7 linked regions of the Macaca fascicularis genome follow. The protein of the gene in region 1 interacts with the protein of each later gene in a pairwise test. Links are inferred from orthologs where the notes say so. Each region holds a gene or a part of one and is shown in the gene's direction. Other genes may lie near its edges.

Region 1 (4,248 bases):
GCACTATTTAAACTGGACTTGTTATTTCTCACCTCAAAGCTCTGGCCTGGGCTGAGACCTCTGCAACAGAGCTTATTAGCGAGCTTTTCATCATGCTCTGTGGCTATCTGGGTCTGAAGTCAAGAGCCATTCACAGGAAAATCAGCGTGAAACCTATAAGTTTGCATATTAAGTATTAACACTACTAAGGGCTACAGTGGAAAAGAGGTTTGCTGAGCTTAAGGGCTCTCGCTCCACCCCCAACTGCCCTTGACTTTTCTCTTCTATGTTGTATTCCTGGTAAATCCCGTTATATCTCGACTACCTTAGGCCACCTCAGCTCTTTCTTGGGAATTAGGCTGTCTGGATAGGCAAAGAGGCAGATATCCAGCTGTCAAGTGAATCAGATGTCCTCATCAGATCTCTTAATTTCCACTTTTGTGATATTTCAAAGGATCACAGATTATTTTCTTAGTGCCTGGTCAGAGAACCAGGAAAGAGCTAGAAGGTGAGACACCAAACTCCGTTCCATGGTGATGTTTGAACCAGGTTGGAGCTGGTTTCACATGTTTTTCATTGTGCATGACTTTCTTAATTGCCTTAGTGGGAATGTGTTACTGCAAAATAAAGTGAAATTGTTTTCCTTATTGCTTGTAATTTACAGAGGGATGGTTTTGATAATATAAACCAAGGACTTTTCAAATCCATTGATCTTAGGGTGGAAGGAGGGGTTTCTTTTTAAGTATTCATTTTGAACTATGCTTTCACTAGTAAATTCAAAGCCCAAGGGGAAAAACCCATGTTTCTCCGTTTTGTAATAGCTATTAGATGTCCACAGCATCATCAGACCTGCGGAAAACGCATGCTTTGTGTATGGAAGACGGAGCGTCAGGAGTTGTTCTTTGCCAAGAAATGGACCCTGACACTCAAAGGCACAAGCTGGAGGAGATCCAGGGAACCCGGGAAAGCCCAGGCCTAACTCAGGCCCGCGTGGGTCTCTTCTGATCCCAGAAGATGAGGACTGGGTCCCGGCTCTGGGCATCCTAGTGTCGACTGTGAGTTCCCAGCAGAGGCCCATAGTCCCGGTCCGGCAGCCGAGGGAAGCGGCGGGGTCTCCCAGAAGAAGAAAGGGCCAAGGTCACCCCGGGTGACTCTCCAGCAGCAGCGGAGGGCGGCGGTCGGGGTCGCTGCTGGCCGGGGCCTCGAGGAAGCCGCGGGTCAGCCAGGGCTGGGTCTCCGTTCCCAGGCGCTGCCACCGTTCCAGGGAGCCAGTCAGGCCGGGACGTAGCGCCTGCGTGGGACCCTCACTTGCCACCGGGACCTCCACAAACCCCGCCCCATCCTGCCTTACGCCCCGCCCCAAGGTCGTCCTCCCGACCCAGGGTCCCGCCCCAAGGCCGTCCTCCCGCCCCGCCGCTTGGTGGCGGCCGCATGCTGCCCGGATATAAAGCGTCGGCCCCATATCCCAGGGACCAGCGAGCAGCCTGGAGAGGCTCTGGCTCTTGCTTCTTAGGCGGCCCGAGGGTGCCATGGCCGAGTGCCCGTTACGTGGGGAGGAAGTCACCGACCACCCGGACCGCCTGTGGGCCTGGGACAAGTTCGTATATTTGGACGAGAAGCAGCGCGCCTGGCTGCCCTTAACCATTGAGGTACAGCCAGCTCTGGAGCGGATGGCGAGGCAGCAGGGGCAGCCCCCGGGAGTTTGAGATGCCCTAGGAAGGGTGAGGCCTTGAGAAGCACCCACTGTGGGGCAGGGAGGATCCCCACAGATGAAGCCACTTTGAGCCGGGCTCTGGAGGATGAATAGGAGTTCTCCAGGCAGGGAAAAAGGGTGGGAAAACCGCAAAGAAATGTCGGCCAAAGGAGGGGACCCAGTGCCTGTGGAGTGTGACTATAATGTTGACTACAGCAGGGCTTTTCTGGGCTTCGGGGTCCTAATCCTTAAAAATGGGTATCTCTAAGTGACTCATCCATACGGCCGATTATCGGAATCATCTTAGGTGGGTCCCAGAAATCTGTATTTTAAAAAGAACCCTCAACAGCTCAAAAGAACACGTCAACCAGGCATAGCAACCACTGCCCTAGAGTGTGAAGTATTTTCCATGACCTCTGTGCTTTATTTAGAAAACAAATTTAACAAGTGATGTCGTAGTATAAGCGCCGGTATTGAATCAATATTGACTTTGTTTTATGTGTGATGCCTTAAGATGGGTCCTTAGTCCATGTTAAGTTTTTGTTAAACAAATATATAACTCTTTTACAAGTATTTGGATTTACTCGATGAAAAAGAGTCAAAAAATGTTCAAACTCTTTCCAAACATAGACTGAAGAAAGCATAAAAAATTAAAACAAATTAGAACATGTATGTCCAGTAGCAAACAATCAAAAATTATTGAGCGTTAACTGTGTCTCTACAGATGAGAAACTGAGGCACAAAAATGTACATTTGTCCAAGGTAGGGCTGCTAGTAGGTAATGGGGTTGGAATTCTAGGCTGTTAACCACCACCAAAATTTGCATTTTTATTGGCACTTCAATTTTTTAAATATGTTTTTACTTTAATAATCAAGTTAAACATTTACTTTTTTAAAATCAAAATTTGAAGAAATAATCTGAATATTCGGTGAATTTCTTTTTTTAAATCTCTGGTTGAGAAATCTCTTCAACGTGACACCAGAATCATAAACCAGACAATTTTTCATATAATCATGATAAATGCCACACAAAAACCCGCTAGCAAACTGTGGGACAGATTTTGCCTCACATCATTGAAAAGGCCAGTATTCTTTTTCTTTCTTCTTTCTTTGTCTTTTTTTTTTTTTTTTTTTTTCCGTAGAGACAGGGTCTCGCTCCGTCACTCAGGCTGATCTTAAACTCCTGGCCTCAAGCGATCCTCCTGCCTCGGCCTTCCGAAGCACAGGAATTACAAGTGTGAGCCACTGCAACCCGCCAGAAAAAAAGTGTGCCTTTCATGGCCCTGTCTGGGTGGCTAGACACATGTGCGTGCTGGTGATCCTGGCCCAGCCAGAGTCCCTGAGAGGAGCATGCATGGCCTAAGGAAGTGAGCTTCAGGGAACAGTGATGACCGTCATTTCATACTCGGACCCCTGCCCAGATGGGTGGGTGGCTGGCAGGAAGGACTCTGGTTTTCTGTGCCTGGAGGAGCCCTGGCAAGCGGAACCTGAAAGTATGCCCTGTGCTCTTCTTCTCCTCAGATAGAGGATAGGTTACGGGTGCTCTTTCGTCAGGAAGACATCATCCTGGGGAATCCTATGACCCCCACCCAGATAGGCCCAAGCTTGCTGCCTATCTTGTGGCAGCTCTACCCTGATGGACGATACCGATCCTCAGACTCCAGTTTCTGGCGCTTAGTGTACCACATCAAGGTGAGTGTGCTTCTCCCAGGGATCCATCGGGTGATCTTGGGTTTCCCCTCCTCCGTGTCTGGCCTTAGTGGTTTATCTTCCCTCCATCCCAGTCCCAAAAGCATCAAAAATTGGGGGGAATGGACAACTGAGGATTTCTAAAGGACTTTCCCAGAGAGAAGATAGATCCTCTGAGGTATCTAACAGAACCCTACCTCCCCTTCCTCCCAGCCCCCCAGCTGGCCGCAGGAAGACATCTCCCGTGGGCAGCCACAGGCTGAAGGCTGGTGGGAGGAGGAGCAGTCTCCGAGAGCCCCTGAAATTCACACTTGGGTTCCTACCTGCTGTTTCCAGCTAGGGGAAGGCGCAGGAGTGAGGAATGGAGGGAGTGGAGGGCTCTGGCCGATCAATGCCTTCTCTGTCTGCCTCTCAGATTGACGGCGTGGAGGACATGCTTCTCGAGCTGCTGCCAGATGACTGAGTGTGGCACGGTGAGCTCCACTGACCAGGGCTTGACCCCTCTTAGTCCACAGTGGCTGTACCAGAAGGAAAGACCACCCGTTCTCCATGAAGGCAGTGCTAACCCCTCCCCGACTGCTGCCATCTCAGGCCTCCCAGGGATGGGAGAGTCTTCCTGGAGGCACCCATGTCTCTCCCTTACCACTTTGGGAGCCCCCTTTATCGCAGCTGCTCATATCTACACAGTACTTCACAACTTCACGTTTCAGCGAGTACTTCAGTTCCCATTGCCTTTTGTTTTTTTTTGTTTTGAGTCTCGCTCTGTCGCCCAGGCTAGAGTACAGAGGTGCAATCTCAGCTCACTGTAAGCTCTGCCTCCTGGGTTCATACCATTCTCCCGCCTCAGCCTTCCAAGTAGCTGGGACTACAGGTGCCCAACACCACGC
Region 2 (3,928 bases), on another chromosome or scaffold:
TGGCATGATTTTTTTTTTTTTTTTAAAGATTATTTGCGTTGCTGGATGCAGAGCTGGGAGGCCAGTCAAGAGGAAACTGCAGTCACTCAACTGAAAGGTGATGGTGACTTGGACAGGGGTTGTGGCCATGGAAATGAAGAGAAGTGGACAAATTTGAAATACAGTCTGAGGCTGAACTGACTGGACTTGCTGACGGGACTGGATGTGTGCACATAAGAAAAAGGTGGACTTTGTTTTATAACAAGTATTGGGACTGGAAAAACGGAGGAAACCATAGATTTGAAGGGGAAGACCATGAGCTCTGCACTGTCCACGACAAATGTAAGAAGCCTATCCAATATCCACGAGGGGAAGTCAGGTGGGATCCCACTGTGGAACTCTGGGCGAGACTCAGCTGAAGTTATCATTCGGGAGTCAGCACACTGCATCACTCTACGTCCTGGTCCGTCCGTCCGTTTTCCTGGGACACAAATAACTGCCTTCTCCGCGTTCAACCCTGAACATCTGCGCTGTATCCTCTGGACAACGGGGAGCGGGAAAGAAGCTACGCAGGAGCTTGGGTCGGGCGAGGCTCACGGGAAGCCGCTCTGGGTGCAGAGGACAAAGGCGCAGGGACAGCGGGGAGGGCCGGCCGCGGCCTGCCGTGCTGCCCCCACTGCGCGGAACGCGCGCAGCAACCTCCACCCGGCCTCCGCGTCTGGACTCCCGCCGCCCCTGCCTCTGGGCCTCCTCCGCCCACCGGCAGAGTCTCCCGCGAAGCCCGCTGGGCCACGCTCTCACCCTCCTCCTCCTCACGCCGGGTCTTGCTCTTGGCCTTGGACTTCTGGCTGCGCGTTTCGCGTCCCCGCGGCTCCCCGCCGGCCGCGCGCTTCCGAGCCATATTGCTTGTCGGGGAAAAATCCACTTCGCGAGTGACGCACCAGGCCGCGATGCGTTAGAACGCAGGCCCCGCCCCGAGGCGGGCGCGTCTGGCCGCGCCCCTTCGTTGGAGGCCTAGTCACGCCCCCAAAGGAAGCTCCGCCCCATACCCGTGGCCACTAAAAAACCGCGGGAAGCAGGCAAGAGCACAGCAGGTTTCTATTTCCGGTGTATTGTAGCATCACGTTTCCGGAGCTCGGCGTTGCTCTTGTGTTCTCGCGAGAGGCGGGAAAGGGCGCAGGGTTTGAAACATGGCGGACGACGTAGACCAGGTGAGTGAATTTTAAGGCGGTGGCTCGGCGCCGCTTCTTGTACTAAACTGCTTTTTCCAAACGCAGGAAAAATGGCCAGTCGCGCCTCTTCTTTCCAAGTCACACGGCCTAATCCGCCCCATCCTTTCCGTAAACACCCCTGTCCGAATTTTGCTGCAGGCCCTGAGGTCTTTTCCGTTAGAAGGCCACCTGATGACTATTCATCACACTCTTCGCTTTGTTTTTTTAAATCTGTAAATTATTATGCGTGCCTACCTCACGGAGCTGTCAGGATTCCAATAGAAAGCCAGATAATAAAGTTAGGAGTTGTTATTACTGAGCACAACAATTATTTACTCATTCAGCAGAGAGAGTGAACATCAGCTTTGTATGGTTAGACACTGTTCTAAGAGCCAGGGACACTGACATCGATATATAAGTGATCCTTGCCATGACTTGGAGCTTATATTCGCGAGGAGAACAGATAAATATAAATATGTAAGATTTATAGGAACTGTGATGTGCTATGAAGGAAACAAGGAACTGGTATGCAGAATAACAGATGGTCCTAGAAGCTTTTTCACCTGGTCTTTTTCTTCCTCAAATATCTTTGGAGATCATGCTACAACTTAAACTTTCTACTGAAATCTCACCTCCTCAGAGAGGACTTCTGCCCAAATAGCACTCCCCCTACTCTGCTTACCCTGCCTCATTTTTCTTCATAGAACGTTATTTTTTCATATTAAATGTATGCATCTTTGTTTAATGTGTATCTCTCCTGACTAGAATGTAAGTGCCATAACAGTAGGCATTTTGTTTTGTTCATTCTTTTGTCCTTGGGGTTTAGAACAGTGCTGGAAATACTCAACAAATATTTGAGTGAATGAGTTAGATGATCAGAGGAGGCCTCTTTTAAAAGCCAATGTATAAAGCTACAGGATGAAAAAGAACAGAAAGTGGGCATCCCAGACAGAGGCTTAGGTAGCAGTAGAGCTCTGTCATGTGCATATTCTTACAGTATTATAATTATTCATATGCCTATCCACATTAGAATGAGCTCCTTGAGGGTGGAGATTGTGACTTCTGTATCATTGTAATCTAACAGTTGGTTATCAGATCCTTTAACAAACACCTGTTGAACTGAGGGACATAGGGACCAGTTGAGTTAGGTTATTTTTTTTTCTCTCATCGGGCCTTTTGAATCTTTAGCGCCTGTTACGAATTCAGTTACCTTCCTCCACTGGCCTTGTGTGCTTACTAAAGAAGCTCTCCTTGAATCATCTAACTCTTTAATGGCTGCAACCCTCCCTTCCATGTGGGTGACCCCAAGTCATCCTAGCCCTGACCTCTAAAACCAGTGTTTCCAGCAGTTCTTTAATAATATAATATTAGTAGGAATCTTTTCTTTTCTTTTTTTTTTTTGGATGGAGTCTCACTCTATCGCCCAGGCTGGAGTGCAGTGGCGTGATCTCAGTTCACTGCAACCTCTGCCTCCTGGTTCAAGCGATTCTCCTGTCTCAGCCTCCCAAGTAGCTGGGACTACAGGCACGTGCCAGCACGCCTGGCTAATTTTTGTATTTTTAGTAGAGACGGGGTTCACCATGTTGGCCAGGCTGGTCTCAAACTCCTAACCTCAGGTGATCTGCCTTTCTCAGCCTCCCAAAGTGCTGGAATTCAGGCCTGAGCCACCACGCCCAGCCAAAAGGAACCGTTTCTAAGTATTAATATTTTCTGCTTTCCTGGCACTGTTTTAAATGCATTAACTAGTTTCATCCTCATAAGAATCCAGAAGGAAGGTTGTGGCTTTCTCAATTACAAATGAAGAATCTGAGAATTACAGATGGCATGATTTTTAATCTCAGTTCATAAGTGTCAGGTCACAGCCAGGAGTTGAACCCAGACTGCCTGACTCCAAAGTCAGTGCTTGCTTGCTTGTTGGCACCATCTTGGCTCACTGCAACCTCCACCTCCCAGGCTCAGGCAATCCTCCCACCTCAGCCTCGGAGTAGCTGGGACTACAGGCGCATGCCACCATGCCCGGCTAAGCCAGTGCTTTGAACCAGTGTTCTATTCTGGCTACTAAATATTCATCTTACTGGCCAGTTGGCAGCCTAACCTCAACCTGTGCTGAATTCATAATCTTCCCATAAACCTACACCTCTACTTGGCATTCTGACTAGTATATGGTAGGCATTAAGTGAGTGTTTTTCCTATGATTACATAATATTTGAGATAAAGCTAAAGTTCCTAAGACCCTATACCCTGAAATCGGGTCAGGCAGTTTGGATTTTGAGGGAACAAAGTATAGTCATGATTATTTTGCTGTGTAACTCCTTCTTATGTATGCGTGTTTTAATCTACATTTATATAGCACATACTATGTGAAAAGTTCTGTTCTAAGCCTTCATATATGTCACTTAAGCCTCATAAAAACAGTATTAGGTAGACACTATTATCTCCATTTTACAGATTAGGAGACTGAGGCAGAAAAAGGTTAAATAACTTGCACATGGTCATACAGCATAGCAGTGATTTAAGCACTACTTTATCTCTAGTACTATATTACTAAACCTGTTTCTGTTATCAGCAACAAACTACCAACACTGTAGAGGAGCCCCTGGATCTTATCAGGCTCAGCCTAGATGAGCGAATTTATGTGAAGATGAGAAATGACCGAGAGCTTCGAGGCAGATTACATGTGAGTAAATTTATCAAGTTACCTTGAAATCAGATTCCTTCCCACCCCCACTCCCTTGAAA
Region 3 (3,500 bases), on another chromosome or scaffold:
CTCCGTGAATATGAAATGGCGGCTTCACTGCCTTGTATTACACCCCAGAACCGTGTAGCTCATGTAAGCTTCCGAATGGTGGGCAGTGGAGCGAAAGTAAGACATTCTTAATAGAAAGCTTGGTCCCAGGACTCAACCAGGCAGCACCAGCAGACCAACCAGGGATTTTCCACCAGGCGGAAGAGGTTTTCATTAAGCAGGAGAACTCTGCGGGAAGGAAGGTAACCACGGTGAAGTAAAAAGACTATCCATTGGTAGTTAGACAATTTGAGTTACCAAAGGAAAGTCCCTTCCCCTCTCTGAAGTCTCGGTTTTTCATCTACAAAATAAACTTAACATAATACCTATGTTCACCCTTAATTCACTTTTAAAGTGTCAACTGCTGAAGACATTCTAGGACCTGAAGACATTGCAAGGAACAAGGACACATTCCTTGCCCAAGTAGAGTTTACATTTAAGGAAGGAAGATAGATAATTAAATATATGTTTACCTGATACTTGTATACTTCCAATTAAAAGTGTCATTGAAGGGATAAAAGGAGATACAAATAGTGGTTAATGTTTAACGCTATGTGCCAGATATCATGCCAGGCATTTACATATAATAATAATAACAGCAACAAGTGTAATATGGGCCAGGCACTATTTTGTGTGTGTTTTACATGTTAACACATTTAATCCTCATTTAAAAATACATACTGGCCTGGCCAACACAGCAAGACCCTGTTTCTACAAAAAGTTTTAAAAATTGTCAAGGCATACTGGCACACACTTATAGTCCCAGCTACTTGGAGGCTGAAGCAGGAGGATGGCTTGAGCCCAGGAGTTTGAGGTTGCAGTGCATCATGATCACCACTGAAGTCTGACTTAGATAACAGAGCAAAGTCCTGCCTCTATTTAAAATAAAAAATTAAATGCTGGGTGCATTGATTCACGCCTGTAATCCCAGCACTTTTGGAGGCCGAGGTGGATGGGTTGCTTGAGCCCAGAAGTTTGAGACCAACCTGGGCAACATGGTGAAACCCTGACTCTACCAAAAATACAAAAATAAAATAAAATAAAATTAGCCAGATGTGCTGGCATGCACCTGTAGTCCCAGCTAATCATAAGGCTGAGGCTGGAGGTCACTTAAGCCTGGGAGGCGGAGGTTGCAGTGAGCTGTGATTATGTCACTGTACTCCAGCCTAGGTGACAGAGCAAGACTGTCTCAAAAGGAAATTGAACATTAAATAAATACTATTATCCCCATTTTATAAATGAGAACACTGAGGTACAAAGAGGTTAACTTGCCCAAAGTCACACAGCCACTAAGGGGCAAGACCTATGCAGCCTGGGCAGAGGTCTCTGTGCTATGTGCTGCCTCTCATGATAGTATCATCTCATTTAACCCTTGCAACAACCTGGTAGGTACAAGTGTTATTCTTATCTTACAGATGTGGACACAGAAGCAGAATGTGTAAGTAACTAGTTTGAGTTTGCACAGCCAGGAGGTGGTAGGGCAAGACGAGACCCACAGTGGTTCCTCCTGGGATGCACGTGAGGTGGGCTGGCCCAGTGTCCAGCCCCAGGAAACTGGTCCCTCTGTGGCCAACTCTCTTACTGTCTTTCCTGTCCCTGTTCTTGCTTAGGTGTTCCTGAAGAGCGACCGTGTGGCCCGCATGGTGCAGAGTGGAGGCTGTTCTGCCAACGACTCCCGGGAGGTCTTCAAGAAGCACATTGAGAAGAGGGTGCGCAGCCTGCCCGAGATTGATGGCCTCAGCAAGGAGACTGTGCTGAGCTCCTGGATGGCCAAATTTGATGCCATCTACCGTGGAGAAGAGGACCCCCGGAAGCAGCAGGCCCGGATGACAGCCAGCGCAGCCTCCGAGCTGATTCTGAGCAAGGAGCAACTCTATGAGATGTTCCAGAACATTCTTGGGATCAAGAAGTTCGAACATCAGCTCCTGTACAATGCCTGCCAGGTAAGGCGTTTCTCCCCTGGGCCCAGAGCTGTGGGTAAGCAGAGCTGCATTCCGACTTCTATGAGATGCTTCTTGATTTTTTTTTAAATGGATTAAAAGTTATTACTCTACTGGTAAAAAGTTGAATACAATTTAGGCTACATTATATTCATGCTTTTCTTCTTCGTAAAAAAAAAAAAAAAAAAAAAAATTCTGTGAGCTCCTAAAAGTCTCAGGGGCCCTAGGCACTGAGCTCATTGTGTCTAATGGGTAAGTTGGCCCTATGAGTAAGGTCTGGTTTCCATGTGTCAAAAGTGCTAAAAATCAATTTTTAAAAAAATATGGTTCTGCCTTTGGTGTTTGCCAGTGGAAGGGCTTGTGCTTCCTCAGGTGGGAAGACAACTGAACTTAGCACCTGCCTGTCAAGAGAAATTTTTTAAAATGGGAAATTTGCACAAGGCCTAATACCTGTATATTAGTCACATCATGAATTTCTGAGTGGTTCTGATAGTGAGAGCTGAGGCTCTGCTTGGGTCCACCCCAAAATGGGCCTGTATTTCCTCTAGATAGAGGACCGGGAAAGCGAGGTATCTCGTATCTTGATATCCTACCTAACCTTAGCATTATATTCATTTATTCAATAAATATTTATTATGTGCCTATTTTGCAGTCTGGAATTCTTACTGGGTGTCTCTTAGGAGCAGTTTAAAAATGCACATTCCCAGCCCCTAGCCCTAGAGATTCTCATTCTGCAGCCTCAGAGCATGGCCCAGGAATCTGCATTTTAAACAAGGGCCTTCCTTCCTGGTAATTATGTTGCCCTTCGCCTTCAAAGAATTATCAGAGAGATTCATCTTTGCCTTGTTTGCTAATATTCCCAGTGTATAAAATCTTGACACATAGTGAATGCTCAGTAAATGTTTATTGAATTAATAAATGGATAATGGAAAATTATTTTAACTAGTAGGTAGGGTCTTATCAACTATGATATATCACCTAGAATTTTCTGGATGCTTTAGTAAGAGTCTGTTTAGCATTTCATAATACAACACATGCATCACATTCAAAGATATTGGTGGTATCTACTTTCATGTCATCCAACTTTAATTGAAAACATTGATTACAAATCTGGAGATGAAAGATTTCTGTGACGGGTCAAAAAGTATTTTGAAATTTCAAATATCAATATAAAATTACATTTAATCATTTTTATTTAAAATGTAACTACATCCCACCATGTAGCAGTTTTAGAATGGGATAAGCAGGTGGCGTCAGCCTCCACCATCACTATCACCTCCACCAGCATGTCCACCACAAGAAGGTGTCATAGCTTCCATATTGAAAAGTCATCCACCTGAATTATAAGCAAGATTCCGAATTACAGAGAGAGTCAAGTGTTCCTAAACCTTCTAGGTACAAAATTATTCTAGGGATTAATTTTTCTTCTTATTGCAACAGCTTATCATGCATATTTTCTGTGCTTGCCCAAACCTCAGCATCATTGGAATGAATCCATTGCTATGCCATTTCTTGTCTTATCTCAGTGGCAGGATCATATTT
Region 4 (3,958 bases), on another chromosome or scaffold:
CAGCCCTTTCATGACCAAGGCGTGTGCTGGGCATGCTGTGTGGCTGTGTGCCCCCCTGCACATGCCCTGCCCCGCTGTCCTGAGATGCCGGCGAGGGCAAGGGTGTCCGCACAGGGCAGAGCATGCCCTCCTGAAGAAGCCTCCAGAAACCTATGACCAGGTCAAAGCGGCTGGGTGCGGTCTGGCCTCGTCCAGCCTCCTGGGGGTCTCTGCTGTCTCTTCTACTTGCCAGGTGCCCGGGCTGGGCCTCTGGGGCATTCTCAGGACCCCTGGCCCCCGGCCAGGCTGGGAGGGCTGAGAGCAGTTTTCCCGTGGAGGGCAGAGGACTTCCACTTCCGTCTGCCTCTCGGGGCCTCCTGGGCTGCACGAATCAGAAGGCAGGCCACCAGGGACTGTCCCCCTGTGGGAGGACTGGCGGGACTGTGGAGTTAAGCCATCAGGAAGTGCACAGGCGTCCGGCACGCTCCTCCCTCCCTGCAGCCCCAGGCAGCATCTCCCCGAGGCTCCACGTCCCAGGCTCCTGGTGCGTCTGCCGTGCAGGTGGCTCCTTGGAAGACCCTCAGGTGGGTGGGTCTGGTACTTTTCTGAAAAGTGACCAAGAAGGTCGGCGCCGGCTTCGTTCAGAATCCTGGCGCTGATCCCCGCAGAGCAGCATGAGGCTTCCCACAGGCAGCCAGGCAGCCTCCGCCGCGCTGCCCCATCCCTTTCATGGCCACTGGGCGGAGACATGTTCATTTCAGTGGCATTACGGTGGCAGATGGGACCCTGCATTTCAGGCTGGGGAGGCAGGAAAGGGGCCCAGTGTTCCCAGGACTGTCCGCTGTGTGGCCGGTGTTTCTATTCAGCCCCTTGTCTGTCAAAACTGTCCTGAATGGGGTGACAAAGTACAGTGGGAAGTTGAGAAATTCTTCAAAAGACCAAGACCAAACACTTCAAAAGACCAAGTGTCTCCAGGAGTAGTGACCCAGCTCCTTTAGGCAGGAAACCAGCATTTCCCAGTGGGGCTGGAGGCTGAGGACCGGGGACCTGCGTGGGAGGCAGGACCATGTGGCTGTTCCCAGCCTTGCCCCAGTCCCAGAGGGAGTGGCTTTCAGCGGCTGAGGCTTCCACCGCGCTGGCAGAAAGGGACAGCAGTGGCTGGTCCCAACATGGGTAGTTCTCTTGTTTCAGCCAGTGGGATGGGGGTCGGGCCTCATCGGGGGCAGGAGAAGAGTCCAGAGATTGACGGGTGCCCGTCACCTAAGAACCTGGAGAAAACAGCACAGCAGCACTCCTGGCCAGCCAAGGGCAACACCGACAGCCCCTCCCAGCTTGCGGGGCCGGCGGGGAGTGACAGAGGCACGCTCCTGTGGGCAGCTCTTCCCGGCCGGTGCAGCGACCCTGGCAGCTGGGGCAGGGCTGGGTGGCCACTCTTGCATCATCAACAGCCGGCCATGGAGGAGGGAGGGCACAGCGCGGGATGTGAGCAGGCGTCGGTCAGGGGAATGGGGAAGTTCCGCCAGAACCGGCTCCCCCAGCTGCTGCCCTAGTGGGAGGGTCATTGGCCAACCTGCTCTCACCCAGCTTGGGCTGGCCGTAGTGCCAGGCAGGTGCCCACAGCTGCCCACCCGTGGAGGTGGCTGCCCCTGTAGGCTCCAGGGCGTGGTGGGAGTGTCCAGGAGGCGGAGGCCAGAGGCGAGTCATGCCGTGGAGGCCGTTCCTCTCTCAGACCCCATCTGTGTCTCCCCCGCTGCATATCTGGGTGACACGGATGGCCAAGGGGCAGGAGCAGGGGCTGGGAAAGGCTGTGGAGGGGCCCTCGGCTGGTCTGGCGGGGAGCGGGTCACTGTCTCTGCCGCCTCCCTGGGGGATCCAGCATGGGGATGGGACATGGAGCCGGGTACCTCTCCTGGATGCCCCTGGGCTGACCCCCTCGACAGCCCTGACGAGAGCCCAGGCCCAGCGTCTGAGAAGGAGCGGGAGCCGGGCCTGGGTGGGGGCAGGAGCCGGCGTCACTCTCAGCGGCTGCCCCACACCCCCCAGCCTGCCTGCGAGGCCATGTCGGACTACGAGAACGACGATGAGTGCTGGAGCGTCCTGGAGGGCTTCCGGGTGATGCTCACGTCGGTCATCGACCCCTCGCGCATCACGCCCTACCTGCGGCAGTGCAAGGTCCTGAACCCCGACGATGAGGAGCAGGTGCTCAGTGACCCCAACTTGGTCATCCGCAAACGGAAAGTGGGTCAGTGCTGCCCCGCAGGCCCCAGGCCCCAAACCCAACCAAGGAGCCCGCTTGGAGGTGGCTGCACGCTCTGCCACCCTGACCCTCGACCCCAGGAGAGCCCCGCCTGGCTTTGCCCCTGGCGTCCCAGTGAGGCCCAACCTCAACCCTGGCACATGGCCACCCTATCCCCCAGCCTCTCCTGCCAGCTCGGTGCTGCCAAGAGGGGCAGTGGGACTCCCACCACAACGGGGGCTCCTGAGACAGCCAAGGGATGGGTGGACAGCACTTTGTCCCCAGCCTAGTACCAAGACCCACAGGGTGCCTCATCCACGACCCAAACCACAGCACACCTCATCTACATCCCAGCCTCCATCTGTCCCTGCCCCCGGGCCCACCCACCCCAGCCCTCTGCCTCGCCTGTGCCCCGCCCCCAGTTAGGCCCCTCTGGCCCGCAGGCGTGCTCTTGGACATCCTGCAGCGGACCGGCCACAAGGGCTACGTGGCCTTCCTCGAGAGCCTGGAACTCTATTACCCACAGCTGTACAAGAAGGTCACGGGCAAGGAGCCGGCCCGTGTCTTCTCCATGATCATCGGTGAGTGACGGGGAAGGCGGTGGTGGGGGCGGGCAGTGGTGCTGGGTCCTCTGCCCAGGCCCCATCCCTAGGAGCCCTGAGCTCCTGCCACAGCGCAGGGCGTGATAGAGCTGGGCCACCGGGGAACACAGGCACCGTCTAACGCTGGCGCGGCCCACAGACGCGTCCGGGGAGTCAGGCCTGACTCAGCTGCTGATGACCGAGGTCATGAAGCTGCAGAAGAAGGTGCAGGACCTGACCGCGCTGCTGAGCTCCAAGGATGACTTCATCAAGGAGCTGCGGGTGAAGGACAGCCTGCTGCGCAAGCACCAGGAGCGGGTGCAGAGGCTCAAGGAGGAGTGCGAGGCCGGCAGCCGTGAGCTCAAGCGCTGCAAGGAGGAGAACTACGACCTGGCCATGCGCCTGGCACGCCAGAGCGAGGAGAAGGGTGCCGCGCTCATGCGGAACCGTGACCTGCAGCTGGAGGTGCGCCCACTGCCCCCGGGGAACCAGGCCCCCCTTGCCTGGCCTGGTGGGGTCTGCAGGCTGGGGCGGTCGGGGGTGGCCCCGTGGGTCCGTTGTCACCACCTGGAGGGGACAGCCGGGCTCACCGGACCTTCCGCAGATTGACCGGCTCAAGCACAGCCTCATGAAGGCCGAGGACGACTGCAAGGTGGAGCGCAAGCACACGCTGAAGCTGAGGCACGCCATGGAGCAGAGGCCCAGCCAGGAGCTGCTGTGGGAGCTGCAGCAGCAGAAGGCCCTGCTCCAGGCCCGGGTGCAGGAGCTGGAGGCCTCCGTCCAGGTGGGGCCGCAGGCAGGGCGGGTGCAGCCCGGGCAGGACAGCCGGGGCCTTCCCAGCCAGGCCATTGCCTTTTGCCCCCTTCAGGAGGGGAAGCTGGACAGGAGCAGCCCCTACATCCAGGTACTGGAAGAGGACTGGCGGCAGGCACTGCGGGACCACCAGGAGCAGGCCAACACCATCTTCTCCCTGCGCAAGGACCTCCGCCAGGGCGAGGCCCGACGCCTCCGGGTAGGAGGGCAGGCAGGGCGACGCAGCTCCTGGGGGCCAAGCCACGCTGGGTGGGCTGAGCTCCGCCCACTCCGTGCCTGGAAGGTGGGGCCTGGGGACTCCTATGGCCTCCCCCCACATCCCAACTGGCCTGACCACATGCTCCTGAGC
Region 5 (3,992 bases), about 9.2 Mb from region 1:
GCAGGAATGGGGAGTCCCCTGCCTGAGGAGCCAGTGCCCCCATGCAGCGGGAGAGAGTCCTTCTCTTGGTCAGCCCCAAGAGGCAGGGATGAAGCCCCAGTTTTGGCTGCAGACTCTGTCCTGAGCACTGGGCCGAACCTGCTGCCTCTGTCTACATCTCCTCCCACCCCCTCCCCTGCTGCCAGCTGAAGTCACTCAGGCTGAAAATAAAAATGCTCCCCCCACCCCAATACTTAGCCTCAGGAAGGTTAACTCACAAGAGTCCCTCTTTCACAAAAGGGTTATTATCAACTGTGGGCCTCTGGAATGGGGGAGGGGCAGTTGTTGGAGGAACTTCTGGCTGGGAAGGGGTCGGGGTGGCAGTCACCTGCATCGTCCTGTGAGTGTGCAGGAGAAGGGGGTCTGTGTCCCATTCACTCACTCCATACCGGGGCCATCTGCCTCCCAGTGGACTTCGGACTGGGTGTCGGGGCTGACCAAGTCCACCCAGCAGGGAGGGTCCTGGGCTCTCAGCTGTCACAGCCCACCCTAGACACCGCTCCTCCTCTGTCTGGTGTCTGCTCCCAGCTCGAGGTGGGACCCAGGCAAGGTGTGCCCCTCTTCTCCCACTCCCCAGCAAAGTCTCCCTTTTGTGAGTGTAGCTGCCAGTACCTAGGTGAATGGTTGAGTCCCCTCGGAGCCTTCCCGCTCCTTGGAGGCACACCTCCAACTGACCTCCGCACTTCCCCCAGAGGCACAAGGTCCTGGGATTGGGCCTTTTAGGACACTCTTGGCCGTCCCTCCACGCCCCCCAGAGTGGGGCAGTGCATAGGTGGGGCACGGCCTGAAAGTCAACCTAACCCACCCCCGCCCCGCGCAGTGGAGGCAGAAGTCCGGGATTCGTCCCTGACCGGTCTCGGGCCTGGTCTAGTAGGGTCAGGGCAGAGCGAGTCCAGAAGCGCCGGGTCACTTTACAGATGGGGAAACTGAGGCCAGAGAAGGCGTGGCCCCGGGACGGGCTGGCTGGTGGCCGGGCTCCGTTAGCGGCCCAGCCCAGGCCCTAGGCCGCCGGGGGCCGCCCCTCAGCCCAGCCGCGCGCTTCCCGGGCGCGCTCCGCCCTCGCCGCGGGCCCGGGCGGCCGCGCGGTGGGGACGCCCCGGGCGGCGGAGGCGGATGTGGGCGGGCGGCTCCGGGCGCGGGGCGGGCGCGGGGCGGGGAGAGGGCGGGCCGGCGGCGGCGGCAGGACCGAGCGCGGCAGGCGGCCGGCCCAGCGCAGCCAGCGCGGCCCGAAGGACGGGAGCAGGCGGCCAAGCACCGAGCGTCGGGCACCGGGCACCGAGCGGCAGCAGCACGCGAGGCCCGGCCCCGAGCAGCGCCCCTGCCCGCCGCGGCCTCCAGCCCGGCCCCGCCCAGCGCCGGCCCGCGGGGATGCGGAGCGGCGGGCGCCGGAGGCCGCGGCCCGGCTAGGCCCGCGCTCGCGCTCGGACGCGGCGGCCCGGTGAGTCCCCGCCCGCCGCGGCCGCCCGGGCCCGGATTTCCTCCCCGCGGGCCGGGCCGCTTTGTTCCCGGCCGGTCGGGCCGGGGCGCGAGCCGCGGCGCCGCCAGAATGGAGGAGCGGGAGCAGGAAGTGGCCGAGCGGGCCTGGGCGGGGAGGGCGCGGGGCGCGCGGGCCCGGCCAAGGGAGGGCGGCCCCACGCCGGGCGCCAGGGGTGCAGGCTGCCGGCCCCAGCCTCCCTCATGACCTTGGGGAGGCCGCTCCACCCGGCGAGGCCGGGGCCCGGGAGAAGGGGCGCTGCCGGGCCTGGGGCTGGGGCTTGGGGTGCCCCTGCGGGCCGTGGGGCTCCCCGGGCGTTGGGCCAGCGAGACAGCCGGCGGAGGTGCCCCGGGGTTAGGAGAAAGGCTCGCCGCGGCCGGCCTTCAAGTTTGTGGGAGGGCCCCGGAAGGAGACTTCATTTCCCACGGACAAAAAGTTGTACGTGGTGGCGGGGTACCCAGGCTAGCCACAAAGGACTGACCCTCCTGGGCCCCGGAACTGCTTCCTGTCTTGGGTGGGCCCTGGAGGTCCTGCCTGCTCGTCCCAGAGGCCGAGGCTTAGAGGGCAGCTGGGGCTTGCCCCTTAGATTGAGTATCCTGGGGCGCTAGCGAGCCTTGGTCCTGTCGGGACGGCCCCTGAGTGCTGCTGTGGTAAGCGGGGTTGGCTTGGGCCCCTGCTCTGTAGCCAGAGGCCGCCCCACATTCACTCCTGGGTCTCTTGGCCTTGCTCCAGGTGGCCACTTCTTGACTGCTTTGAGTCCCTCATCCAAGCAAAGGGCGGAGTGCATTGGTGGAGGCCCGGTTCCCTCTCCCCGGAGCTGTATAGACTTATCATACACCAGGGTTCTGGAGGCAGATGGAGGAACCCTTTCGAAACACAGAGTATTTTTTTTTTTTAAGTTGTGACTTAAATAATAACAGTAGCAAGAATATGTGCTTATGGTAAAGGCAGGTGGCAGGTACGGAGGCTGTGGGAAGTTGGGGTCCCTCCGCCTCCACAGGCAGCCCTGTACTGGCCTGGTGTATACGTTTCTGTGCAGACGTACACCACCCTGTGTGTGCACAGATGTATTTTTACACATGGCTCTGGACAGCTGTCTGACTCTGTCAGCAGCAGGCCTTGGAGGGGCGCAGGCCCTGGTGGGGGGTGGGGGGACATCCAGAGGTCTTTGAGTCCAGCCCTCTGCCTCCAGGCCACGCCCACTCTGTCGTCAGAGCCCCCTGTGCCTGAGGCGTGCGCGGCTGGGAGCCCTGCCCTCCTCAGGTCTGGCCTGCTTTCCATCCTGCTGAGTACTTGGGGCATTTCCCTCTTTGAGCAAGGTGTAGTCTTCCCTGTCCTGGCATTAGACACGAGGCAGTGGGCCTTCCTGCCATTCTAAATGTAGCTTAAGACAGTCAGTGCAAAGCACCCCTCTGTGGGTGTCCAGCCCAGGCCTCAGGAGGCCAGAAAGGTTGCCTGGCGGGAGAGCATCTTGGCTGACTGTGGAAAGACCCATGTTGGGGTCCATTCCACAGAGGTCGTCAGGTATCTCTGCCTGGCCTGGAGGTCCCAGAGAGGACCCTCCTCCCCTCAGGAAGGCCCGTCTGGAAGGGTAGCAGAGGACTGCTCACAGGAAGAGCATGCCAAGTGCTCTTTCTCGGGATGCCAGGGGTTGGTGATGTGGGAACTGGGTTTTGAGGGATGCCTAGGAGTTCATCTATCAGAGGGGAAATGAGGAAGCCATGCAGGATCAATGGATAAAGTGTGCTCAGGTGAGGGCTGGCTGGTGGGCCACTGCAGGGTAGGGGCCTGTCCAGTGCTCCCCCACTTACTTGCTGCCTCCCAACTGCTGTAATTATGGGTCTGTAACCACCCTGGACTGGGTGCTCCTCACTGACCGACTTGTCTGAACCTCTCTTTGTCTCCAGCGCCCAGCACTGGGCCTGGCAAAGCCAGAGACGCCTGGTACACGTTGGCCAAATGAATGAACCAGATTCAGACCGGCAGGGGCGCTGTGGTTTAGGAGGGGCCTGGGGTTTCTCCCAGGAGGTTTTTGGGCTCGCCCTGGAGGGCTCTGGGCTGCCGTTTGCGCCAGTGGCCTGCATCCTGGTCCAGTCTTCTTCATGTTTGAATTTCTTTGCTTTCCTAGTCTGGGGAGCAGGGAGGAGCCCTGTTCCCTGTCCCAGGATCCATGGGTAGGAACACCATGGACAGGGAGAGCAAACGGGGCCATCTGTCACCAGGGGCTTAGGGAAGGCAGAGCCAGCCTAGGTCAAATAAGTCTCAAAGGGACTGCCTGGAGGAGGCAGCCTGTCAGCTGGTGCATCAGGTTAGGCAGGCTGGGAAGGCCTTTTGGGGATGGGGATGATTTGTCCAAAGGCTCAGGGAGGTGGGAATGGGGAGGTGAGCAAGGCAGCAGCTCTCAGGGCCAGGTTGTTGAGGGGAGTGGTGGCAGGGGCTGGGGACTCAGCCTAGAATGAGGAGAGGCCCAGGTCCAGGG
Region 6 (4,061 bases), on another chromosome or scaffold:
TGGTGTCATTACTGTAATTCCTGCGGAGGCGCCAGCACCTTGACCTGCCGTTGCTTTTCCACCATGAGTGCAAACGTCAGCATTGTGCAAAGGGCAAATCACGTCTTCATATTAGTATGAAAATAATTTTGGCTTTGAAAGAGTGTCGGTGACCCTCAGGACAATGTTGGTCGACATCAATGGTTCTCAATGGGGCAGGGTGGGAGGGGTGGTTTTTCTTCCAGGGAAAATTTCACTGTCTGGGGAAACCATTGGCTGTCACAACTGACCAGTGGTGGCATCCCGTGGAGAGACCAGAGATGCTGCTAAGTACCCTACAATGCACAGGACACCCCGTCCCCCAACAAAGCATTATCCAGTTTGAAATGTTAATGGCGCTGAGGCCGAGAAAGCATGACTTCCAAAAACGAGTGTATAAATTAACAATCTTGATTACCTTTGTTACATGTGCTCGTTTATTTTCTTTTCTTTTTTTTTTTTTTTTTTTTTTTGAGACGGAGTCTCGCTCTGTCGCCCAGGCTGGAGTGCAGTGGCCGGATCTCAGCTCACTGCAAGCTCTGCCTCCCGGGTTTTTACGCCATTCTCCTGCCTCAGCCTCCCGAGTAGCCGGTACTACAGGCGCCCGCCACCTCGCCCGGCTAGGTTTTTGTATTTTTTAGTAGAGACGGGGTTTCACCGTGTTAGCCAGGATGGTCTCGAACTCCTGACCTCGTGATCCGCCCGTCTCGGCCTCCCAAAGTGCTGGGATTACAGGCTTGAGCCACCGCGCCCGGCCGTGCTCGTTTATTTTCAAGACATGACGCACAGCTACGTTCAGGCCGTAATACTGCCTTCCGAGTCCAACTCATTGTAACTTTCACGTGAAGGCTGCAGTTCAGCCTGGAGCCTCCCTGACCAGCTTCCCCGCCCCGCCGCCTCGAGCCCTTTATAACCGAGTTTTGCCTCGCTGTTCTCTGCGTCTGGCCGATCTCATCAGCTAGGCTATTAGGCAGGAGCATATCCTAATCCTTTGAATCACGTAAAATCGTTTTCCCCTCACCTTATTCCCCACTGACTGGACGCGACGCTGCGCGGTACCGCTGGGGTGGCTCCTCCTGGTGCGCTCCTCACCCCGCGCAGCCTCATTTTCCCGCGCTCCTGCGCTGCGGTCATTCGGTGCTGCTGTCAGAGGGCGCGCCCAGCCGCGTGGCCCTGATTACTACAAATCCCAGAAGGTCATGCGGTGGGGGCGGCCGCGGTGACTTCTGGGATTTGTGGTCTCGGAGAAGGGATTGGCGGAGGAGAAAGACAGAGTCGTCTTTCCTTTGCCTGCTTCTGTGGACTGTTCGAACGCCCCGGGGTGGGCCAAACCCGTTTCTTAGGAAACCAGGGATCCAGGGCAGGCAGGTAGGAATTTGGGCGTGATAATTTCTGCTTCCAGTGGGCCAGAATGTAAACACGGGGCCTTGGGAGGTGTTATCAGGTAACTGGGGTTGCCCGGTCGGCGGTGGAAGCTGAAGAAGAGGAGGAAAACGAGGCGAGTGGGTGCTGTGATTGGGGCAGAAAGGACCTTCGGAGTAGGAGTAGAAACCCGACGGAATCCGGTAGAGCCTGTTCGCTTGGGTTGGTCTCCAGGGACAAGCGAGTCTAGGGGTCGGGCCCGCAGTGGCACCTTCGCCAGGCTGCGCGGCCGCAACGTTCGCTGCGCGGTGGGAGGGGCGGGTCGAGCCGGCCGCTCCCCGCTGGAGAGGTGTCTGCGGCCCGGGGCGGTCCGTGCACGCGCAGGTGACGTCCGGGGCAGCCTTTCTGAGCATTTTTATTATTGTTGACCAATGAAGGGAAAGTCGCTAATACTGGTTTTTCTCTTGCGGTGGCGTTTTTTGGTAAATCGTTTCTTGGATTCCTCACCTCTGAATACCTCCTTCTACCCAGAAGGTTGCTGTTGTGATTTCCTGATCTTGTTCATGTAGTGGTTTTTCCCTTTGGGTGCTGCATCCTCAGACAGTCAAGACAAGCCCTCTCTGGCAGCTGGGTAAATGTCAAGCCGTCAACAGATATTGAGCGCCTACTATAGGGATCATTGTAACAGTACAGGAATTTAGAATACAGCGTCGTTGTTTAGAGTTGTTATGCCATTCCTGAAATATAATGCTGTATAAAAGGTTGAATTTGTCTGGTTTCATGAGTTTAACATGAACATGAAACCGGTGTGATTGTGGTTTACCCACATGGTTTCTTATTCTGGTAAAAAAATGTTAAGTCTAGGATGTTGGCACCTCGGGCTTCTAACTAGACTTAGGAAACCCTCCTTCATAAGAAGTTTTCATTTCATGTTCAGATAGTCACAGAGGAACAATAAACTCGTACGGCTTAAGATATCTGAAACAACTGGGAGTGTTAAATTTTCCAGTGCAGAAAGTGCTTTGCATGTTCTAGGATTCACACACCTTTTTAAGCCTGGCTAAGTTTACTTCAAAGCTTAAGTCCTCCAGAAAGCCTCAAGTGTCCCTTCTCTGATGTCATGGCATCCTTTGTTTACTCTCTTGTAGCGCTTACCGTGTATTGAAATTGACTGTACTCTGTGGTTTCCAGACACTTTTGAAGAAAATATAAAACTTCGCTAATGGCCTTGATAACAGATTCATGCTTTTACACCGTAGTGGGCCCTTGATACTACTGTTTGGTATCTCTATTTATCCTTTGTTGCTTTTCCTTATCTCCGCAGTAACTATTTTAGATCTTTTCCGTTTTTCTCAAGAACTCAGATATGTTATTTTCCTTTTACTTTGAGCAGATGACTAGCCGCTGTTTGCTGGAGAAATGTGAAGCTTAGGGCATGAAATTCCTCATTTTCCTTTCCCTCCATCCCTGAACTTGCCTGTATGTTTCACTCAATATTAACTCTTCTTTTTGTCTGAGAGGAATGTATTTTTGTCTCCCTCTTTCAGGTTAAACTTGTCGATTGCTAGTGGCATCAGGCCTCCCACACCCTCATTACCTCATTCTGTCCTGGCCTCTGCAGCCTCTGATCTCTAGAAGGTCTCAAGGGATCTGTGGAGGAGAATGACTCAAACACCTGAGGCAACAGTGTGCATGGCTTTTTCACATATGGTTGAGAACCACCACCTTGGGCCTTAACCTGTGCTTGTCCCCAGCATTTGTAACAGTGGTTTGGGTTGGAAGATGGGGAGGGTAATCGGAGTCTGAATGACCTATGAATTTAAAAAAATCTGTAGGTCTGTATCTCACTTTTTCCTTTCCTTCCGACCCTATCACAGCCCCTCATATAATCTACAGATCTGATCAATGATTTTTTTTTTTCCTTTGATCAATGATTTTTATTGTAATTTGCCTCCAGTAAACACACTAGGTTTCCTTTAGTATTAGTAGGGTTCCCACAGTGCCTGGTGCCTCACATTATGAATAAAGAAAGTTTCATTTGGAAACTTGAAACCGGAAAACGTGGTCATCATTCTTGTTACCATTAGGGATAATCATAAATACAAGACTTTTTTTTAATCTTGTCTTACACTGATATCTTGTGAGTCTTTCCTAATGATCTGTATTTTCTCAGGTTGTCCTCACTGTGTGCCTTTCAACTTCTGTTCCATAATATCCACACTTCCCGTTTTCAGCCATCTTCCCCTGTGATACTTATAATCATCTTCAAACATGGGAAACTCATTCTCCTATATTATGATCAGTCTGGGGAGAGAGTTCGCATTGTCCTTATTCCCCAGCATAATTTATAATCCATTAGTCCTCCAGGTTTAAAAAAAAAATCTCAGTTCCTGTGGAAAGCTTGTGGTTCACCTATATCAGCCTGTATATTTCTTTATTTCTTTTTTTTTTTTGAAATGGAGTTTTGCTCGTGTTGCCCAGGCTGGCGTGCAATGGCACAATCTTGGCTCACTGCAACTTCTACCTCCCAAGTTCAAGTGATTCTCCTGCCTCAGCCTCCCAAGTAGCTGGGATTACAGGCATGCACCACCATGCCCAGCTACTTTTTGTATTTTAGTAGAGACGGGGTTTTACCATGTTAGCCAGGCTTGTCTTGAACTCCTGACCTCAGGTGATCCACC
Region 7 (3,937 bases), on another chromosome or scaffold:
TCTCCCCTCTGTGTGCCAGAATCCGAAGATGAACAAAAGAGGCCTGCATCAGGAAAACTGTGTTCAGTTCTCTTGGATTCAGGCCTTCAACCCGAATTGGGTTGAGTGAATGAAGATGCTGATGAGATGTCAGGGACCTGGGGACTGAAGACACACCCAGAAAAAGCAGGACCCTGCAGGAGTGGACAAAGAACTGGAGCACAGGGATGTGAGAGGGGTTGAAATGAACAACAGACTCATACGAGAAGGATTTCTAATCAGAAGAGAGTGACTGCTTTAATAAAGCTGCAACCTGGAACAATTACAATCTGACCAGATGTTCTTGCAAAACTGGTAAAGCAGAGAATGTGAAAAAATCTCTCCCCCTCCTCCCCTGAATGCAGTTGACCAAAGGCTGAAAGGCCGGATCCTGAAAGCCCAGATCTGATCCCTGCAGATCTGGGCCACCCTAAAAGCAATCGGGTGTAATCTTTCCAGCTCCAGGCCCTGGGATGAGGGAGATGGGGGGAAGGCAGAGAAAGGCGGAGGAAGGTGGAGGGAGGTGAGAGGAGGTGGAGGGAAGTGAGGGGAAGTGGAGGGAGGTGAGGGGAGGTGGAGAGAGGTGGGTGGCGGCTCCAGGGTTTGAAAACACATCCAGGACACTTGCCCATCCTCCAAGAGCACGCCGGCTCGCAGGCTCTTTCACGCTTCTGCTTGGGACAATCGCGTGCATGAAATCTGGCAGGGAAGAGCCAAGGAGATTGTTAGCCCGAGGGCTAGGACGGTGGATCTGGGAAGCAGGGGCCTGGGGGACACGTTCTCTTCCTGCCGCGGGCTGCCTCGTGCTCCCGAGTCCCCGCGGGGCCTGGCGGCGAGGCCGGGGGCTGCAGGCGACCATCCGGCAGGCGGCGGCGGCGACAGCGGTGGCCGCGAGGGACGCGCCCGGGGCCCGCGCTCACGGGGAGCGGTCGCGGCTTGGCAGCTGCTCCCCGCGCCCCCGCGGCCTCGCCAGGGGAGGGGGCGCCGCGCCGGGGCCCTGGATCCGCGCCAGGCCGCTGCTTCCAGCCGGCGGGCCCGGGGCGGGGCGGGGCGGCCGGGTCCCCATCCCCAAGTCCCTTCCCCCACGCAACCTTCGCCCTCCCAGCTCCTTCCCGCGCCGTCTTCCCTTCCCGCGTTCCCCGGGAGAAACATGGCCGGGAGCAGCGAGGAGGCGCCAGACTACGGGCGAGGCGTCGTGGTAAATGCAAACTCCCGATTTTGGGGCTCGCCCCGCTCCCCTCCCTCCCTGGCACCCTGCTTGTAGATTAAATGCCTGCCGTGCGTCGGGAGAGAAAGCGGGCCACCGCTTTGTTCTCCCTCCTGGCGGGGATCGCTTCCATCCTCAGACCCTGGCCTCCTCTCCCCGCCCCCAATCTGAGGAAACGCCGAGTCCCGTCCCTTCACCCCGAGTTCCCAGCGTCCCCCCGCGTCCTCCGGCCGGTAGCCCGCTCCTGCAGCGTCCCGCCGGCGCCCAGCCGTCCCCATCCCAGCGAGCCACGGGGAGCAGCTTCTGGGAGCCGGCCGGGCCGAGACACCCGCGTGCTGCTCTGTAGGCCTCCTTCTTCCTGGGCCTCCTCTTCCAGAGCGGGCTTCAAGTTTTGTTTTTAAAAAGGACACTGAGGGGTTTTGAAGGCAGCCAGGAAATAAAGTAGCTCAAGTTGACAGAGCTTGAGCTCTGAAGCCTTTGGTACCCAGGTTGGGGGGCTCTCTGGCAGTGGAGGCCTCTGCAGGAGCTCTGGGACACGCTCCTGCGGGACCTATGGTTTGTCTGTAAAAGGGAGCAACAGCAGGCTGGGCTCCGGAGCGAATTGGGAGGATGCATGTAAAATATCTAGCAGTGTGTCCGGATGGGAGGGTGTGGGATGCTGGTTTCCCAGAACTGAGCCTCCTGGCGGTGTCAGCCAGAGGGTCAGTGTGCTAGGATCTAATCCGTTCTTGACCTTGTGGCCGCGTCCTCCCTGCTCCCTGAGAAGTGGTTTTCCTAGAAGGTGGTGGTTATAACTTGTGTCAAGTTCAATGTGAAACTCAATGGTGGTGAGGATGGTGGGTGGAGCTAACTTGCCATCTCTTTCCAGGGATCAGCTTGTCGTTCACAGATAATCTGTTTATGAATATGAATGGCCTGAACTAAAGTAAGTGGGCTGGGGAGGGAAACGTGACACACTCAGACAGAACCAGTCAGGTTGAAATGTGGGGCTCAGTGCTTAATTTAACAGCAGGCCCTTTCCTTCTTAAAGGATGAGGAGTTGATTTATTTATTCATTCCACAAGTTGATTGTCCTGCTGGGTTGCAGAAGGTGTTGTAGGCGCTGGGGTGCAAAAGACAAAGGCCTTGTCTTCATGAGCTTGCGTTCTAGAGAAGACACAGGCAAGCAGTGTGTAAACAAATAGAGAAAATTTCCAGTAGAGATGTGCAATAGGAGGAGGGTAACAGGATAGAGGGTAATTGGAGGAGAAGCGGGGAGTGATGCTTTTGCTCAGGTGGTCAGGGCAGCCTCTCCGCGGTGACCTTTGAGCTAAGATCTGAAGGGTACACAGGAGTAGACATGTGGACTGCAGGCGGAGACCCGCATATCAAATGCAAAAGAATCATTGTATCCGATTTATGCTTTTACAAAAACCATTCCAGTTGCCCCAGGAGGAGGGGCAAGCCTAGCGGTGTGATGGATGGGAGGGAGACTAAAACGCAAAAAGGGCAATCACTAAGTTCATTGTGGACAAATTGAGTCTGCAGTGCCTGTAAGGCCCACAGATCGGGCTGCACTGTAGGCAATTTGTGAAATTCACATTTGGAATTCAGGAGAGCGATTGGAGAGATTTGGAAATCAGCAGAAAGAATAATATTTAATGTTCAGGAATGCTCAGTGAATGTGGAAAAAACAATTAAAGCAACTGTTAAGGATGGAAGCCTGGAAAGTCCCAAATGTAGGAGGCTGCCTGTGGGGGAGAAGCCGGTTGAAGGAACCGAGAAAGAACGCTGAAGGGTGGGAGGGCAGGCAGGGTGGTGGGTGCCTTGGGAACAGAGCATTGTTGAGCGGGAGGGGCGGTGTCAAGAGGTCATCAGAAGTGTCAGATGCTACAGGGACAGCAAGTTGGATACCAAGATGGAAAACAGCCACTGTATTTAACAATTACAAAGTCATTAGTAGGGAGAATCTTTTAAACAACCACTCCATTGGTAGAACAGTTAAAATATAGTACAAGTTGAGCATCCCTAATCCAAAAATCCAAAATCCAAAATGCCCCCAAATCTGACACTTTCTGTGCGCCAACATGATGCTGAAAGGAAATACTGGCTGGAGCATTTTGGATTTCGGATTTTCAGATTAGGGATGCTCAACCAGGAAGTAAATGCAAATATTCCAAAATCCAAAGAAAAAAAAAAAACATCAGTAATTAGAAACACATCTGGTCCCAAGCATTTTGGGTGAGGCGTACTCAACTTGTACTACCATAACATACTAGATACTTTTAGAAAAGAATAAGGTGGATCTAGATGCACTGATAGAGTAGGTAAATTGTTGAAGTCTAAGAAACAAGTGAGAGAACATTGTAAATAGCCCAGTCTATTGGTGTCAACAGAGGTCCTCCTGGAAGCAAGGTAATTTTTTGAAAAATGCAAAGAGGTAGTGAGAGGGGTATAAAGAGAATAGAGGGCCAGGTGAGGTGGCTCATACCTGTAATCCCAGCACTTTGGAAGGCCGAGGTGGGTAGATCACCTGAGGTCAGGAGTTCAATAAAATCCTGACCAACATTGTGAAACCTAGCTGCTACTAAAAATACAAAATTAGCTGGGCATGGTAGTACATGCCTGTAACCACAGCTACTCGGGAGGCTGAAGCAGGAGAATTGCCTGAATCCGGGAGGTGGAGGTTGCAGCAAGCTGAGACTGTACCATTGCACTCCAGCCTGGGCAACA

What was found.
Region 2: the proteins of TCL1A (region 1) and LSM3 interact in binary tests that used the Homo sapiens proteins (3 or more experiments, as listed by UniProt). The two-hybrid records come from large-scale screens. The link is inferred for Macaca fascicularis from reciprocal best matches to the Homo sapiens genes TCL1A and LSM3.
Region 3: the proteins of TCL1A (region 1) and CADPS interact in a two-hybrid assay, tested with the Homo sapiens proteins (3 studies listed by BioGRID and IntAct). The two-hybrid records come from large-scale screens. The link is inferred for Macaca fascicularis from reciprocal best matches to the Homo sapiens genes TCL1A and CADPS.
Region 4: the proteins of TCL1A (region 1) and CARD9 interact in binary tests that used the Homo sapiens proteins (3 or more experiments, as listed by UniProt). The two-hybrid records come from large-scale screens. The link is inferred for Macaca fascicularis from reciprocal best matches to the Homo sapiens genes TCL1A and CARD9.
Region 5: the proteins of TCL1A (region 1) and AKT1 interact in binary tests that used the Homo sapiens proteins (3 or more experiments, as listed by UniProt). The link is inferred for Macaca fascicularis from reciprocal best matches to the Homo sapiens genes TCL1A and AKT1.
Region 6: the proteins of TCL1A (region 1) and TTC33 interact in binary tests that used the Homo sapiens proteins (3 or more experiments, as listed by UniProt). The two-hybrid records come from large-scale screens. The link is inferred for Macaca fascicularis from reciprocal best matches to the Homo sapiens genes TCL1A and TTC33.
Region 7: the proteins of TCL1A (region 1) and PRTFDC1 interact in binary tests that used the Homo sapiens proteins (3 or more experiments, as listed by UniProt). The two-hybrid records come from large-scale screens. The link is inferred for Macaca fascicularis from reciprocal best matches to the Homo sapiens genes TCL1A and PRTFDC1.

What each region holds. Positions count from the first base shown.
Region 1 is NC_088381.1:163,769,734-163,773,981, reverse strand, and holds the start of TCL1A (T-cell leukemia/lymphoma protein 1A), read left to right. Parts: upstream 1-1,448; 5' UTR 1,449-1,508; coding exon 1,509-1,628; intron 1,629-3,193; coding exon 3,194-3,364; intron 3,365-3,776; coding exon 3,777-3,824; 3' UTR 3,825-3,834; intron 3,835-4,248. UniProt on the Homo sapiens protein: Enhances the phosphorylation and activation of AKT1, AKT2 and AKT3. Promotes nuclear translocation of AKT1. Enhances cell proliferation, stabilizes mitochondrial membrane potential and promotes cell survival.
Region 2 is NC_088376.1:152,443,168-152,447,095, forward strand, and holds the start of LSM3 (U6 snRNA-associated Sm-like protein LSm3), read left to right. Parts: upstream 1-1,128; 5' UTR 1,129-1,169; coding exon 1,170-1,190; intron 1,191-3,756; coding exon 3,757-3,867; intron 3,868-3,928. Other genes in the region: XPC (DNA repair protein complementing XP-C cells), read right to left, coding at 781-880. UniProt on the Homo sapiens protein: Plays a role in pre-mRNA splicing as component of the U4/U6-U5 tri-snRNP complex that is involved in spliceosome assembly, and as component of the precatalytic spliceosome (spliceosome B complex).
Region 3 is NC_088376.1:125,862,583-125,866,082, reverse strand, and holds part of CADPS (calcium-dependent secretion activator 1), read left to right. Parts: intron 1-1,628; coding exon 1,629-1,961; intron 1,962-3,500.
Region 4 is NC_088389.1:2,998,080-3,002,037, forward strand, and holds the start of CARD9 (caspase recruitment domain-containing protein 9), read left to right. Parts: upstream 1-1,158; 5' UTR 1,159-1,869; coding exon 1,870-2,221; intron 2,222-2,658; coding exon 2,659-2,796; intron 2,797-2,956; coding exon 2,957-3,261; intron 3,262-3,400; coding exon 3,401-3,580; intron 3,581-3,664; coding exon 3,665-3,808; intron 3,809-3,958. UniProt on the Homo sapiens protein: Adapter protein that plays a key role in innate immune response against fungi by forming signaling complexes downstream of C-type lectin receptors.
Region 5 is NC_088381.1:172,986,869-172,990,860, reverse strand, and holds the start of AKT1 (RAC-alpha serine/threonine-protein kinase), read left to right. Parts: upstream 1-1,192; 5' UTR 1,193-1,477; intron 1,478-3,992. UniProt on the Homo sapiens protein: AKT1 is one of 3 closely related serine/threonine-protein kinases (AKT1, AKT2 and AKT3) called the AKT kinase, and which regulate many processes including metabolism, proliferation, cell survival, growth and angiogenesis.
Region 6 is NC_088380.1:41,051,788-41,055,848, reverse strand, and holds the start of TTC33 (tetratricopeptide repeat protein 33), read left to right. Parts: upstream 1-1,261; 5' UTR 1,262-1,382; exon of another isoform or gene 1,383-1,386; intron 1,387-4,061.
Region 7 is NC_088383.1:25,733,691-25,737,627, reverse strand, and holds the start of PRTFDC1 (phosphoribosyltransferase domain-containing protein 1), read left to right. Parts: upstream 1-1,137; 5' UTR 1,138-1,168; coding exon 1,169-1,216; intron 1,217-2,093; exon of another isoform or gene 2,094-2,150; intron 2,151-3,937. UniProt on the Homo sapiens protein: Has low, barely detectable phosphoribosyltransferase activity (in vitro). Binds GMP, IMP and alpha-D-5-phosphoribosyl 1-pyrophosphate (PRPP). Is not expected to contribute to purine metabolism or GMP salvage.